Anolis sagrei: one gene and its partner. The protein of the gene in region 2 purifies or fractionates together with the protein of the main gene of each other region. This does not show direct contact. Links are inferred from orthologs where the notes say so. Each region holds a gene or a part of one and is shown on either strand. Other genes may lie near its edges.

Region 1 (7,582 bases), on a different chromosome or scaffold from region 2:
AATCCTGAGAATGTGCTCTTTAATTACCACTATTCACTTTTCCACATAATCACCAGACAATTGGATACATTTCTGCCAATGATGTACAAGTTTTCTGAAGATGAGAGTAGTCACCAATGTCTCTAAGAGCCGCCATAAGAAAGAACTCATTTGAAAGACTGTCATAATATTGGGAGGCAAGCTCCATCTGCTGGCCCTCTTGGTGAATAGTTCTCGAAGGACTTACCCCCAAAAGTATGGAAAATAAGTATATTTATTTAACAGTGTAGACCCCATCTCAAGGATGGAAATGGTGGTGGGAACATGGTCCAAAGCTGCCTCGAATTTCATTTGGGGAGAAAAGTAGGATGGAAATGAAATGATCACACCAGTAAATAAAGATGAGGGTTGAATGAAAAGTAATGCCTCCAGCTTTGTTAGCCCGAAAAAACCTACAACAACCCTTTGTTACCTGAGTTTGGATGGGAATATTTTAATAAATCAAACTCAAAAATAATCCTGAGAATGTGCTCTTTAACTACCACTATTCACTTTTCCACATAATCACCAGACAATTTGGATACATTTTGTTTTGTTTTGGGGTGTAATGTCACCTGTATGCAAATGATGTTCAACTCTATCACTCCTTCCCACCTGCTACTAAGGAGGCTGTATACCACCAAGAACTTTCTACAATTTATTATGATCCACACTGTCAAAGAAAACCTTTACCTTTACCTATTCTTGGGTATCTGAAGGCATAAAAATATCAAGAAAAGATAAACATTAACATTAAAAATAATCTAAAATACAACTTACCTGTCCGAACGCATCCCCTCCTATGAACCAGCTAGGGTGTTATGATCATCTGGGGAGGCCCTGCTCTCGGTCCTGCCTGCGTCACAAGTATGAGAGACAGGGCCTTCTCAGTGGTGGCCCCTCAGCTGTGGAACACCCTTCCTACAGAAATTAGATTGGCCCCCCTCCCTATTAGCATTTCGGAGGAAAGTGAAGACCTGGTTATTCAAGCAGGCATTTGAATAGTGTATTGAATATAGGAATATGGAACAATGGATTATGAGATTGGATCTTGATTCTACCTATGAGACGCTAATGAGATGTTATAGTTATGTTTAATTGATTGTTTATTATGTCATTTTTTAAAGTGTTTTTAAACTATTTTTATGAATTGTCGAAGGCTTTCATGGCTGGAATCACTAGGTTCTTGTGGGTTTTTTCGGGCTATAGAGCCATGTTCTAGAGGCATTTCTCCTGACGTTTCGCCTGCATCTATGGCAAGCATCCTCAGAGGTAGTGAGGTCTGTTGGAATTAGGACAATGGGTTTATATATCTGTGGAATGGCCGGGGTGGGGCAAGGAGCTCTTCCCTGCTGCAGTTAAGTGTGAATGTTTCAGCTGATTACCTTCATTAGCATTTGAAGGCCTGCCTGAGCCTGGGAAAATCTCTTGCTGGGAGGTGTTAATCTGTGCCTGGTTGTTTCCTCTCTGTTGTTTTGCTGTTGTAATTTTAGAGTTTTTTTTAATACTGGTAGCCAGATTTTGTTCATTTTCATGGTCTCTTCCTTTCTGTTGAAATTGTCCACATGCTTGTGGATTTCAATGGCTTCTCTGTGTAGTCTGACATGGTGGTTGTTGGTGTGGTCCAGCATTTCTGTGTTCTCAAATAATATGCTGTGTCCAGGCTGGTTCATCAGGTGCTCTGCTATGGCTGACTTCTCTGGTTGAAGTAGTCTGTCATGCCTTTCACGTTCCTTGATTCGTGTCTGGGCAATGCTGCGTTTGGTGGTCCCTCTGTAGACTTGTCCACAGCTGCATGGTGTACGGTAGACTCCTGCAGAGGTGAGAGGATCCCTCTTGTCCTTTGCTGAACGTAGCATTTGTTGGATTTTCTTGGTGGGTTTGTAGATTGTTTGTATGTTGTGTTTCCTCATCAGCTTCCCTATGCGGTCAGTGGTTCCCTTGATGTATGGCAGGAACACTTTTCCTCTGGGTGGATCTTCGTCTTGACTCTTGTGGCTTCTTCTCAGTTGTCTTGCAGCTCTTCTGATGTCTGAGGTGGAGTCTCCATTGGCCTGGAGAGCCCAGTTGAGGTGGTTCAGTTCATCTTGGAGGAGAAGGTGGGCTTCGCAGATTCTTTTTGCACGGTCTGCCAAGGCTTTAATGAAGCTCCACTGGCTGCCGATTTGCTACCGGACCCAATTTAAGGTGCTGGTTTTGGCCTACAAAGCCCTAAACGGCTCCGGCCCAAAATACCTTTCGGACCCATCTTGGCCTACGAGCCCACGAGGACCTTGAGATCGTCTGGGGAGGCCCTTCTCTCTATCCCGCCTGCCTCACAGGCACGTCTGGCGGGGACGAGAGAGAGGGCCTTCTCGGTGGTGGCCCCCCGGCTGTGGAACACTCTCCCTGCAGGCATCAGACAGGCGCCCTCCCTTATGTCCTTCCGAAAAAGCCTTAAGACCTGGCTGTTCGAGAAGGCATTTAATTAAGTGCTATAACAATGTGGTAAAGATGACTGGAATGGAACAAGGAATATGAGATTGGTTATGATTCTACTATGAGACGAAGCGGATTATTTAGTGTAACTTTGTAATTGTTATATTGTTAAGATGTTGTTGTAATTGCCTTTTTGTAAATTGCCTTTTTATATGTGTTGTACACCGCCATGAGTCGCCCTAAAGGGCTGAGAATGGCGGTTAACAAATGCATCAAATAAATAAATAAATAATAAATAATGGTGCTTCTTTTTTGACTTGGGTGATGGTTGGAGTTTTTATCTAGATATCTATCTGTGTGTGTGGGTTTTCTGTAGACGGTGTGACCCAATTGTTGATCTGGTTTGCGGATAACTAGGACATCTAGAAAAGGCAGTCTTCCTTCATTTTCCTTTTCCATGGTGAACTGGATGTTAGGATGGATGCTGTTAAGATGGTCCAGGAACCTGTTGAGTTCTTCTCCTCCATGGCTCCAAATGGTGAAGGTGTCATCCACATATCTGAACCATATCGTGGGCTTTTTGGTTGCTGTCTCCAGGGCTTGTTTTTCAAAGTGTTCCATGTAGAAGTTAGCTATGACCGGGCTGAGAGGGCTCCCCATAGCTACTCCATCTTTCTGTTCGTAGAATTCATTGTCCCACTGAAAGTAACTGGTGGTGAGGCAATGGTGAAACAGAGCCGTGATGTCTTCTGGGAACCTCTGGTTGATGAGTGCCATGGTGTCTGCTACCGGGACCATGGTGAATAGAGATACCACGTCGAAGCTGATCAGTTTGTCCTTGGTATTTAGCTTGAGATTGCTGATTTTTTTTCTTTCTATGAAGTGGGCTGAGTCCTTGATGTAGTGTGTAGTGAGCCCAATATGGCTTTGTAACTGTGCCGCAAGAAATTTTGCTAGGTCGTATGTGGGGGATCCAATGGCACTCACGATGGGTCTGAGTGGGGTGGAGTCCTTATGGATTTTTGGGAGTCCATAAAGCCTGGGTGGATGGGCTTCCGATTTACATAGCTGTTGTCGTATGTTTATTGAGGAGTTTTTAATCAGAGTGTTGGTTTTCCTGGTATTTTTATGAAGTTGAGCACTGAATTTTGCTATTGTATATAAATAAAGTAAGTAAGTAAATAAATAAAATATATGCCTGACATAGACATGGGCAAACTCTAGCTCTCCAGGTATTTTGTAGTTGCAGTCCATGTCTGGCTTAACATATTTGAAGCTGCAGAATATGTAGCCTTTGAGAGAAAGTTAGAAATAGTCCCGCAAGTTCGGACAGGCGTTTAGTCAGCTTTGCATCGCTCTATGTCCACAAGCCCAATACCCTCCTATCTTCACCGCTCGCTCCGCCTTCTCCCGTGACGTCACGGCGCATTCTTACGCCGGCCCCTACGTGGCGTCGTTCGCCCCGTACGTGAGCGTTTGCTGCGCATGCGCTTTGTCCTTCCATTCCCCCCCACCCGCTCCTTCAGAGCAGCCGTCTCTGGGTTTGAGGAGGGGGAGCAAAAGAAAGGCTACGGTGGCGGAGGAGGAGGCCGGAGAGGAGCGGAGGAGACGTGGCCGCCGTGGCCGCCACTGCAGCCGCCGCCAAGACGGACTTCTTGTGGGACAAGCGGACAGGGCTGGCGGCCAAGAGGGTGCGGGAGTGCGCATGCGCGGCGGAGAAGAGGGGACCCCCTGGAGTTGGGCCCATCCCCCCCTTCCCATGCCTCTTGGCTTCTTTTCATTGGTGGCATCTAAGTGGTAGTCTCCTCTGTGCTTGGGTGCAAAAGAACTATAGTAGAGATCTAATCTGGGGAAATTAACTTGCAAATGGAGATGAGTAACCTAACCAGGCCTTTTGGAAGACAGGAGGTGTAGGCCCCATCTACACTGCCATATAATATTGTTTGAATCTGCGTTATATGGTCAGTTATATGGTTAGGAAAGGCAGGGAACCAATTAATGCATTATTATAATGGGTCGTTGTAGGTTTTTTCGGGCTATATGGCCATGTTCTAGAGGCATTTTCTCCTGACGTTTCGCCTGCATCTATGGCAAGCATCCTCAGAGGTAGTGAGGTCTGTTGGAACTAGGAAAATGGGTTTATATATCTGTGGAATGACCAGGGTGGGACAAAGGACTCTTGTCTGTTGGAGCTAAGTGTGAATGTTTCAACTGAGCACCTTGATTAGCATTTGATGGCTTGGCAGTGCCTGGGGGAATCTTTTGTTGAGAGGTGATTAGCTGTCCCAGATTGTTTCCTCTCTGTTGTTTAGCTGTTGTAATTTTAGAGTTTTTTCATACTGGCAGCCAGATTTTGCTCATTTTCGTGGTTTCCTCCTTTCTGTTGAAATTGTCCCATACCTTATGTCAGTGGTTCTCAACCTTCTTAATGCTGTGACCCCTTGATACAGTTCCTCATATTGAGGTGATGCCCAACCATAACATTATTTACATTGCTACTTCATAACTATAATTTTGCTACTGTAATGAATCATAGTGTAAACATCTCATACGCAGAATGTATTTTCATTCACTGGACCAAATTTGACACACATGCCCGATACGCCCACATTTGAATACTGGTTGGATTGGGGGGGGGGGGGTAGATTTTGGGGTTAGGGTTGCTGGGATTTATAGTTCACCTACAATCAAAGAGCAGTCTGAACTCCACCAGAGAGAGAATTGGGACATACTTTCCACACAAAATACCCATGACCAACAGAAAAGGGTTTGGCATTGGCCTTGAATTTTGGAGTTGTAGTTCACCTACATCCAGAGAGCACTATGGAAAATCAGGGAAAATACACTTGCAAATGGAGATGAGTAACCTAACCAGGCCTTTTGGAAGACAGATGTAGGCCCCATCTACACTGCCATATAATATTGTTTGAATCTGCGTTATGTGGTCAGTATAGAGACTTGTTGAACCCTTAGGAAAGGCAGGTAACCAATTAATGCATTATTGTAATGGGTTGTATGGCCATGTTCTAGAGGCATTTTCTCCTGACATTTCGCCTGCATCTATGGCAAGCATCCTCAGAGGTAGTGAGGTCTGTTGGAAGTAGGAAAACGGGTTTATATATCTGTGGAATGACCAGGGCGGGACAAAGGACTCTTGTCTGCTGGAGCTAGGAGTGAATGTTTCAACTGACCACCTTGATTAGCATTTGATGGCCTGGCAGTGCCTGGGGGAACTCTCAAAAGTCAAGGTCTATTTTACCCAAACTCCACCAGTGTTCACCTTTGGGCATATGGAATTTTTGTGTCAAGTTTGGTCCAGATCCATCATTTTTTGAGTCCACAGTGCTCTCTGGATGTAGGTGAACTACAACTCCAAAACTCAAGGTCGATGCCCAGCAAACCCTTCCAGTATTTTCTTTTTTTTAAAAAATAATATTTTATTGAGTTTTCTAAAATACAGCAAAAGAGGGGGAATAATTCAAGAGGATAGAAAAGTAGGAAATTTTAGGAACCATAAGACTAAACTAACAAAGTCACACAAATCCCAAAACCGAAAATCAAAGAGAAAAGAAAAAAGAGAAAAAATCACAAAAACAAAAATTGGACTTCCTTCCAATTCTGCCCGTATAGTCACTTCTTTTAGTTCATATCTTATATATGTTCCAATTTATCTCTTCATTATATCTTCAGCACAATTATGAGTTCTTATATCTAGTTTCGATATGGTAGTCAATTATTGACCAATCTGTCTGTTTGGGTGGATTACCTGTATTCTTTTTTAATAAAAAAGTTGATGTATCCATGTCCTTAATTTCCTTCAGCTTCTTTATCCAGTGGAGTTTGTCTGGTAATTCTTTCTGCTTCCAGAATTTCGCAAAGACAATTCTAGTGGCCGTTGTCCCCCTTCCAGTATTTTCCATTGGTCATGGGACTTCTGTGTGCCAAGTTTGGTTCAATTCCATTGTTGGTGGAGTTCAGAATACTCTTTGATTGTAGGTGAACTACAAATCCCAGCAACTACAACTCCCAAATGACAAAATCAACACCCCAAAAATCCACCAGTATTCAAATTTGGGAGTATCGGATATTTGTGCCAAATTTAGTCCAGCGAATGAAAATACATCCTGCATATCTGATATTTACATTACAATTCAAAGCAGTAGCAAAATGACAGTTATGAAATAGCAATGAAAATAATGTTATGGTTGGGGATCACCACGACATGAGTAATTCTATTAAGGGGTCGCGGCATTAGGAAGGTTGAGGACCACTGGTATAGTGCAATATAGTAATATCTAATACTGATATTGTACTATGCTAATAATATAATATATTGTATGAAAACATATCTTGTAAGCCGCTCTGAGTCCCCTTCGGGGTGAGAAGGGAGGCACATAAATGCCGTAAATAAATAAAAAAAATAATGGCCACTTTGAGTTTGAAAGTGTATGCCTGTGAACTTAGACTCGTCTCCATATTTGCAGATGCCTCATTCCAGAAGGTTCCGCTCGTCGGAACGCAGCAGCCGGGGAAGCTACTACGAACGTTACAGAAGCCGCAAGCACAAGCGGAGGCGGAGCCGCTCTCGGTCAAGCAGCAGCGAGCGCCGACATCGCAGGGAAGACAGCTACCATGTCCGATCCCGAAGGTGAGTGCGAACAGGGGCTATTGGCAACTATATTGGCCAAAGTCAGAACTGTATACTTCTTAAGGCCTTTTGACATGCTTGGCCAGGGATAAGTTCAAGTTGTTTGGACACCAGTAGCTTCCCCGAGCATGGCTAGGGAGCCATGAGAGTTAAGGCCAAGACATATAATGATCACACATTTTACTACTCATGCATTAGGGGGAAAAGCCTCAGAGTTTGGTAAACAAGAGACTGTATAATCTTTGGTCTTTCAGATATTTTGGATCTACTGGTTTCAGTAGATGAATATGCATTGGGTAGCTGAAGTCTAACAATATCTGGAAGGATGTATATGATACGTATGTGTACATTCCAATTCAAGGTGCAGGTTATGACCTACAAAACCCTAAACCATTGGCCATTGGTTATGACCTACAAAGCCCTGGCCATTGGTTTTGTTTAACCTCTACTGATGGAGCTGCAATGAAATGTTTTTTTTTATATATATTTTTATCTTTA
Region 2 (8,344 bases):
CTGGATGTCCATCTGTGAGGGATGCTTTGATTGGATGACCCATGTCATGGCAGGGGGTTGGATTAGATGACCCATGTGGTCTCTTCCAACTCTATGATTTTAAGGGAGCATACATTGGGGAAACTGCAAATAAGAAGGATGAAGGATGTGTATAAGGTACCTGTCATGCTCTATGGCAGGCCTGGGCAAACTTTGGCCCTCCGGGTGTTTTGGACTTCAACTCCCACAATTCAATTCAAAGTCCAAAACACCCGGAGGGCCAAAGTTTGCCCAGGCCTGCTTTATGGAATTTGGGACTTCTGGAATTTGGGAAGTCCCCAAAGGCTCCTTTGGCATCATCTCTGTTTTGATATTAAGGCCTCCTCCCCCCCCCCCCCCCTCCGGCAATGGGGAAATTTGACAGACAGAGAAGATGTATCTATACTGCAGAAGTAATGCAGTCTGACACCACTATACTGGCCATGGGTCAGTGCTATGGGATCACAGGATCTGTATCTGAGTGAGGCGAGGCCTAGGATTCTTTGGGAGTGGAGGGAGGCCTAAAGACACCTATATCTGGATTGTAGCCTTGAGCCAAGGCAGTGAAAGCGGTGTAGCCAGGCCGAAGGGAGATGGGTCTCATGCGGGACTGACTCACCCCGTCTCCCTGCTCGGCGGCGCGGTAGAGGCCCGCCACCATCTCGTTGTGGAGCAGCAGGAAGAGGGCCTCGTCCGCCATCTCCGCCTTGTTCATGCCGGGCCTCCCTGGGAGACGCAAGGCCCGCTCCTCCGCCGCGACGCTTCCTCCCCGCCTTCCTTCTCCTCCTCCAAGCCCAGCGCCTCCCGAAGGCCCGGCAGGAGGAGGAGGAGCTGCTAAGCAGGCCTGGGCCAACTTGGGCCCTCCCTCCAAGGGTTTTGGACTTCAGTTCCCACCATTCCTAACAGCCTCAGGCCCTTTCCTTTTTCCCCTCAGAAGCGGCCTGAGGCTGTTGGGAATGGTGGGAATTGAAGTCCAAAAACCCTGGAGGGAGGGCCCAAGTTTGCCCAGGCCCTCAGAAGAGGCCTGAGGTTGTTGGGAATGGTGGGAATTGAAGTCCAAAAACCCCAGGCCCTCAGAGGGGGCCTGAGGCTTTTGGGAATGGTGGAAATTGGAGTCCAAAACCCTGGAGTCCAAGTTTGCCCAGGCCCTCAGAAGGAGCCTGAGGCTGTTGGGAATTATGGGAATTGAAGTCCAAAAACCCTGGAGGGAGGGCCCAAGTTTGCCCAGGCCCTCAGAAGGGGCCTGAGGTTGTTGGGAATGGTGGGAATTGAAGTCCAAAACCTCCAGGCCTTCAGAAGGGGCCTGAGGCTGTTGGGAATGGTGGGAATTGAAGTCCAAAAACCCCAGGCCCTCAGAGGGGTGCTGAGGCTTTTGGGAATGGTGGGAATTGGAGTCCAAAACCCTGGAGGGAGGGCCCAAGTTTGCCCAGGCCCTCAAAAGGGGCCTGAGGCTGTTGGGAATGGTGGGAATTGAAGTCCAAAAACCCTGGAGGGAGGGCCCTAGTTTGCCCAGGCCTGGTCTACACTGTAGAATGAATGCAGCCTGACCACTCTGACTGCCACAGCTCATGCCTCCATAGTCAAGAAGACTATGGCCTTCCCTCCAGCTGTTTTGGACTTCAACTCCCACCATTCCTAACAGCCTCTGGGCCTTTCCTTTTTTTCTCCTCAGTCACTTGGAAAAGGAAAAGGCCTGGTGTTATTAGGAATGGTGGGAGTTGAAGTCCAAAACCTCTGGAAGGCTGAAGTTTGTTTTGCATCCAGTCCATGGGCTTTAGTTTGGGGACCCCTGGTATAGACATTTAGGGTGATCAATACAAATTACAATCCACAGTCTTATTGCTTCAAAAGTATATAAATGGTTGCAAGGTTTACAGTTTGCGATTGGTATATAGTATGGCGGGAAACTTGATAAACCTTTTAATTTGAGGAATTCTGGAGCTGGTCTTCTGTAAACACGCCAGCCACCCCCTTCTGCCTGAAGGAGCTCATCAGCCTGGAAAGGGATTATTTTGGGGAAACAATGTTTGCTGATTGGTATCAGCTGGCAGAGGGGAAGGTTTTCTTGATTGAACAATACATGGATTGTTATTCCAAAATGATGGGTTTGACTTTCTCGGAGTGGGATAGGAGCACGCCCTGCACTTACCTACATAATCCTTACATAATCTTTGGCTTCAGCTTTCTGTGAGTTGATCAGGTGGTGGGAAAATAAGGGGGTTTGTCAATGTTGCCCAGCTAAGAGTCTTTTTCTGGCTTCGGAAGCTCAGCGGAGTAACTACAGGTCATTTCTGAACCTCAACATTTTTAGGAGCCCCAGCTTCAGACAACAACATCAACTACATAATTTCCATAAATCTACCAATTTGAAATCTGTTGCAGCAAATAAATAAAAAACTTGCACCACCACAAATCAGTAGAGTAAGTTTTATTGAGTCAGAGTCCTACTAGGTTAACTCTAGGGAAATACACAACTATCCGATAATCAGATGTATTTATCGTGTCAGAAGCAAATTGAGAATACACAAAGTTTAAAAAAAACAAAGTTTAAAACTTAGCATTATGCTAGATTTCCTTTGACCAGAAGCTGGCCACTTCAAGTGCCTCAAGTGTGAAAAGGTTGTGCATTTAATATGCATTTAAAAATACAAAGTTAAAAAAACCCTTGGCATTATGCTAAATGTCCTTTGACCAGAAGCTGGCCATTGGAGTGCCTCTAATGTCGCTGTGAGAAGGTCCTCCATTGTGCATGTGGCAGTACTCAGACTGCATTGTAGTAAGTGGTCTGTGGTTTGCTCTTCTCCACACTCCCATGTTGTGGACTCCACCCTGTAGCAACATTTCTTAAGGTTGGTGTTGCATCTCATGATGCCGAAGTGCAGTCTTTTCAGCGCCTTCCAAGTCGCCCAGTCTTCTGTGTGCCCAGGAGGGAGTTTCTCATCTGGTATCAACCACTGATTGATGTCCCGTGTTTTAGCCTGGTACTTTTGGACTCCGCTTGCTGAGGTGTTCCTGCAAATATCTCTGTAGATCTTTGAAAGCTGTTTCTTGATTTAAGACATTGGCATGCTGGCTGATATCCAAACAGAGGATGGGCCTGAGATGCCAATGCCTTGTTCCTTTTATTACTGGCTGTTACTTCCCCGGGGGGGGGGGGGGGGCGGGGGGGGGGAGGTTGAGAAGGGCAGGGTACAAATATCTGAAATAAATAAATATCAGGTGATGCAATACCGGCTAAACAGTATAATTCTCCAGCAGTGTTGGGCATAGACTTCCTGTGATAATGTGGCATGTCTCATTAAGACATCTACTGCTTGAACATGGTGAGATGTATTCCATACTGGACATGCGTATTCAGCAGCAGAGTAGCAAAGCGCAAGGACAGATGTCTTCACTGTATCTGGTTATGATCCCTAGGTTGATAATTAGATTAGAGACTGTCAGTACACAGTATATGGCATGACTGAATGCTGGAAGAGCAGCAGTGTATGAGTTTAAGACACAATTACTTGCAAAATCAGATTCTTATCTGGTGATCGTTTATTTAGGATTAGGCAAAAAGGCCCACAACTTCCATGATTCCCTAGCTTTGAGTTATAGCAGCCAAAATAGTGTCAAACCGCATTAATTCTACAGTGTATATACATCTCTGAAGTCACCGATTGATTTACAGTCTATGTAGTAGCTATTTTGTGCTACAGCTATTTGTATTAGGTAAAAAAAAGGTAAAGGTTTTCCCCTGACATTAAGTCCAGTCGTGTCTGACTCTGGAGTTGGTGCTCATCTCCCATTTCTAAGTCGAAGAGCCGGCATTGTCCGTAGACACCTCCAAGGTCATGTGGCCTGCATGATTGCATGGAGCACCATTACCTTCCCTATTAATCTATTCACATTTGCATGTTTTCAAACTGCTAGGTTGACAGAAGCTGGGGCGGACAGCGGAAGCTCACACCGCTCCTCGAATTCGAACCTGTAACCTTAGGTAGTTACCTCATACACATTTCAGCATTTTATAAGAGTGACTCATCTATAGTCAATTTGTCATGTTGATCCCACATTGATTTTTTTATTTCTTCTATAGTTTTGAGATAAAAGATATTGGGATAATATTTAGAAAATGTCACAATAAAATTTACTCAAAAACAAGGTACCAAATAGGAAATTGGGAGGCATATCTCAAATCGCGTAAATGATTCAGAATATATTTTGATTAAACCAATTATGTGTTGTGTTGTAGTTCTATGGAAAAGGTTTGGGAACCACTGACCCTGAGCACCTGGTATTTATTGGTGGTCTCCCATTCAGACACTAACTAGGGCTGACCCTGCTTAACCTCAATCTCCAAGATCAACCAAGATATGGTGCAATTAGGGTAATCAGTCAGTAAAAGAACAGAGATTACTGGGATTAAATATATTGTTTGATTTTATTGTGTCTTATGCTCTTAAATTCACTGGTTAGCCTCCACATTCCTTTCTCAGAAATGCCTTAGCCCCGCCCCTTGCACTCAAGAACGCCTCCTAACCCACAGAGGCGCGAAAATAGTAGGGCGGGGAATATAATACAGAGAGAGAACCTACCTCCAAGCACGGATTGGCCATATGGTTGTGCCGCTTGCCATTCGGTTGGCTGCTTATTGTGTCATTCAACTCTGGTACTTAGCGATTGGCAGAAGGAACCCAACAGGATTCTTTCTAAGTGGCTGAAAGCGACGTCACTCCACCAACGTGAACCGTTGAGTGGCAGAAACGGGAAACTTGATTGGTGCACCGAGCTGCCGCTCAATCTCAGAGGCGGGCGACTCGTGAGAGATTCCGAGTACCGATTGGACAAACGTGATGTCGTTTTAATGTGCTGGTTCCCGATTGGTGGATTCTTTGAGGGAGCCACGTTACACGTGTAGGCGGGGTAACTTCCCCCTCTGCTCCCCAGCTCTTCGCTTACCCGACCGCGCTTTCTGCTGGGCCCAGGCAGGGTAGGCCGCGCCTGTCCTGGTACTAGGAGTAGTAGTATCAGGCGAGATGGCGGTGGCCGTGCGGGCCCTGCAGGAGCAGCTCGAGAAGGCCAAGGAGAGCCTCAAGCACGTCGACGAGAACATCCGCAAGCTCACGGGGCGGGACCCCAACGATGCGAGGTGAGGGAACCAGCCCAAGGGTGCTTTTTCAGGGCCCTTCCACACAGCCAGAAACAGCAAGGCAGGAAATCCCGCATTATCTGAGTGTGGACTCGGATAACCCAGTTCAAAGCAGATATTGTGGGATTTTCTGCCTTGATATTCTGGGATATAGGGCTGTGTGGAAGGGCCCTCAGTAAGGAACTGCCATATAATCCAGATTAACCACTTTAAACCGGATTATGTGAATCTACACTGCGGTTCGGTTCAGCTGCATTCACAAACTATTATATGGCAGTGTAGATGATGATACTGGGAAATAGGGCTGTGTGGAAAGGCCCTCAGTGAGGAACTTCCATATAATCCAGATTAATCACTTTAAACCGGATTATGTGAATCTACACTGCGGTTTCTGTGTTCGGCTCAGCTGCATTCAGAAACTACTATATGGCAGTGTAGATAATAATAATAATAATAATAATAATAATAATCTTTATTTATACCCCGCCACTATCTCCCCAAGGGACTCAGGGCGGCTTACATGAGGCCAGGCCCGACAATACAATGCATCCGTATAAACCAATACAGCAATAAAATAAAACTACAATACAAAACCATAATAAATAACATATCAGCAATAAAACACAGCACTTAAAAACACAAAAATCCTACACTGAGGGCAGGGCCTATTCTAATAGATTTAAAATTTAAAACACTGGGCGTGGCAGCAATAAAATAAGTCTGAATAGAGGTTTTAGAGCAGGGTTCCTCAAACTAAGGCCCGGGGGCCGGATACGGCCCTCCAAGGTCATTTACCCGGCCCTTGCACAGGGTCAACCTAAGTCTGAAATGACTACAACAACAACAATCCTATCTCATCAGGCAAAAGCAGGCCCACACTTCCCATTAAAATACTAATAAGCTTATATTTGTTAAAATTGTTCTTCATTTTGATGATTGTATTGTTTTTAAGTGTTTTTTGCACTACAAATAGGATATGTCCTTCTCAGTGCCTTCTCAGTGGTGGCCCCTCATCTGGAATTCACTCCCCGGGGAAATTAGATCAGCGACATCCCTCCTTTAGAAAGAAATTAAAAACATGGACGTGGGACCAGGCGTTTGGGCACTCTGGCAGATAAATAAAGGACTGTGATGACGGATAGGAATAGACAATGTGGAACGAAGTATGGACTCTGAGTTGGTGAACGCTGTGCTTGAGATTGGCTATTGATTGTGATATATATAGTTGTTTTAATTGTTTAACTGCTTAACTGCTGTTTTTATACATTTATTGTATTATTGTGTAGGCATCGAATTGTGCCATTTTGTAAGCCGCCCTGAGTCTCCCTCGGGGGTTGAGAAGGGCGGGGTAGAAGTATACGAAATAAATAAATATGTGCGGTGTGCATAGGAATTCATTCGTTTTTTTTCAAATTATAATCCGGCCCTCCAACAGTTTGAAAGACTGTGACCTGGCCCTCTGTTTAAAAAGTTTGAGGGCCCCTGTTTTAGAGGGTGAGGTAGGATTGATTGCCCAACAGGTAGAATAAAGTGCTTCAGAGGACCTTTTGCAGGGAATTGGTCAGATCAGGGAATTATTGCTCTTTCATTCAGGGAAGGCACATTGGAACAACCAAGTTTTCAAGCTCCTCCTAAAGACTGCCAATATGGGGGCTTGCCTAATATCCTTAGGGAGCGAATTTCAGTGTCGAGGGGTCACCACTGAAAAGGCCCTCTCCCTCGTCCCCACCAGTCGCACCTGCGAAGGGGGCAGGAGCGAGAGAAGGGCCTCTCTGGACAATCAAAGAGATTGCATGAGTTTGTGAATGGAAATGCAGGTAGGCAGGTCCCAAACTGTCCAGGGCTTTGTAGATAAGGACCTGCACTTTGAATTGAGACCGGAAAATGAACGGCAGCCAGTGGAGCTCTTTAAATAGGAGGGTTGACCACTCCCTGTAATTTGCTCCAGTTACCAATCTGGCTGCTGCCCGTTGGACCAAATGAAATTTCCAGGCCGTCTTCAAGGGCAGCCCCACGTAGAGCGCATTGCAATAATCCAATCAGGAGGTGAGTTAAGGCCAGATCTGACTTCACGAGGTACGGTCGCAGCTGGCGCACAAGCTTCAATTGTGCAAAGGGGCCCGATTCTTCTTTATAACAAGGAAGCAGGGTACTACTTACTACTAATGTAACAATTGTATATATACGATAATAATTATATTGTGTGTGTTGGTTTATATATAATGTAATACCAATTATATGTGTGTCTTTACCTATTTGTATATCATAGTAATTTTATGTGTGTATGTTTGTGTTCCTTTTTCAGGCCTGCTCAGGGTAGGCTCTTGACCATCACAGGCCCAGGTGGAGGTAGAGGGCGTGGAAGTATACTGCTGAGGTAAGAGTCTATGGAAGTATTGTCCTCCGGTGCATCTGCGCCAGGCATGGGCAAACTTGGGCCCTCCAGGTGTTTTGGTCTTCAACTCACACAATTCCTAACAGCCTCAGGCCCCTTCCTTTCTTTCCTTTCTGCTCAAGCAGCTGAGGGAAAAAGGAAAGGGTCTGAGGCTGTTAGGAACTGTGGGAGTTGAAGTCCAAAACACCTGGAGGGCCCAAGTTTGCCAAGGCCTGATTTACACTTGATTCTATGGCGTAGATGCTTCCTAATTTAAGTGAACCTTAACGCAGACTTTGCTTGGAAATAAGTATTTGGAGAGGGTTTGCCTTCCTCTGAGGCTGAGTGTGTGACTTGCCCGATGCCATACAGTCTCCCAGAGCTCTAGGGTGCATCTGCAGTGTAGAATTAATGCATTTTGATGCCACTTAATGGCACAGTGTTATGGGATTGTGGAAGTTGTAGTTGCACAAGCAACTTTTAGGTGCCGTTTGCAACTGTTTCCACAATGTGAGTAGTGCATTGCTGCACAGGACTGACAAATTTATTTATTTACTTCATTTATATATAAATACAAATTGGGGGGGGGGGAGTGGACTAAAAGCAGTTTCCAACATATTTATGGCAAAATGTAATGCCTCACATACATATGTAACCTAAGATAAAATAATAACATATCACTATCAATTAAATTATAAAAACGTAACAATATTTGGACATTAATATGTGGAGTAAAAACATATTAATATAAGCATTAAAATCACATAATCCAAAAAATGTAGTCCATTTGAACACCTTACATAAAATTGTAAATTAAG

Evidence for each region. Proteins that work in one complex are often made in the same cells at the same time.
Region 1: the proteins of PNN (region 2) and CLK2 purify together in Homo sapiens (affinity purification with mass spectrometry; 3 studies listed by BioGRID and IntAct, counting the BioPlex papers as one, with this or other methods). This does not show direct contact. The link is inferred for Anolis sagrei from reciprocal best matches to the Homo sapiens genes PNN and CLK2.

Annotation. Positions count from the first base shown.
Region 1 is NC_090032.1:7,779,838-7,787,419, reverse strand, and holds the start of CLK2 (dual specificity protein kinase CLK2), read left to right. Parts: upstream 1-4,031; 5' UTR 4,032-4,127; intron 4,128-6,920; coding exon 6,921-7,084; intron 7,085-7,582. UniProt on the Homo sapiens protein: Dual specificity kinase acting on both serine/threonine and tyrosine-containing substrates. Phosphorylates serine- and arginine-rich (SR) proteins of the spliceosomal complex.
Region 2 is NC_090021.1:303,574,420-303,582,763, forward strand, and holds the start of PNN (pinin), read left to right. Parts: upstream 1-4,914; 5' UTR 4,915-5,039; coding exon 5,040-5,152; intron 5,153-7,457; coding exon 7,458-7,529; intron 7,530-8,344. Other genes in the region: TRAPPC6B (trafficking protein particle complex subunit 6B), read right to left, coding at 638-733. UniProt on the Homo sapiens protein: Transcriptional activator binding to the E-box 1 core sequence of the E-cadherin promoter gene; the core-binding sequence is 5'CAGGTG-3'. Capable of reversing CTBP1-mediated transcription repression.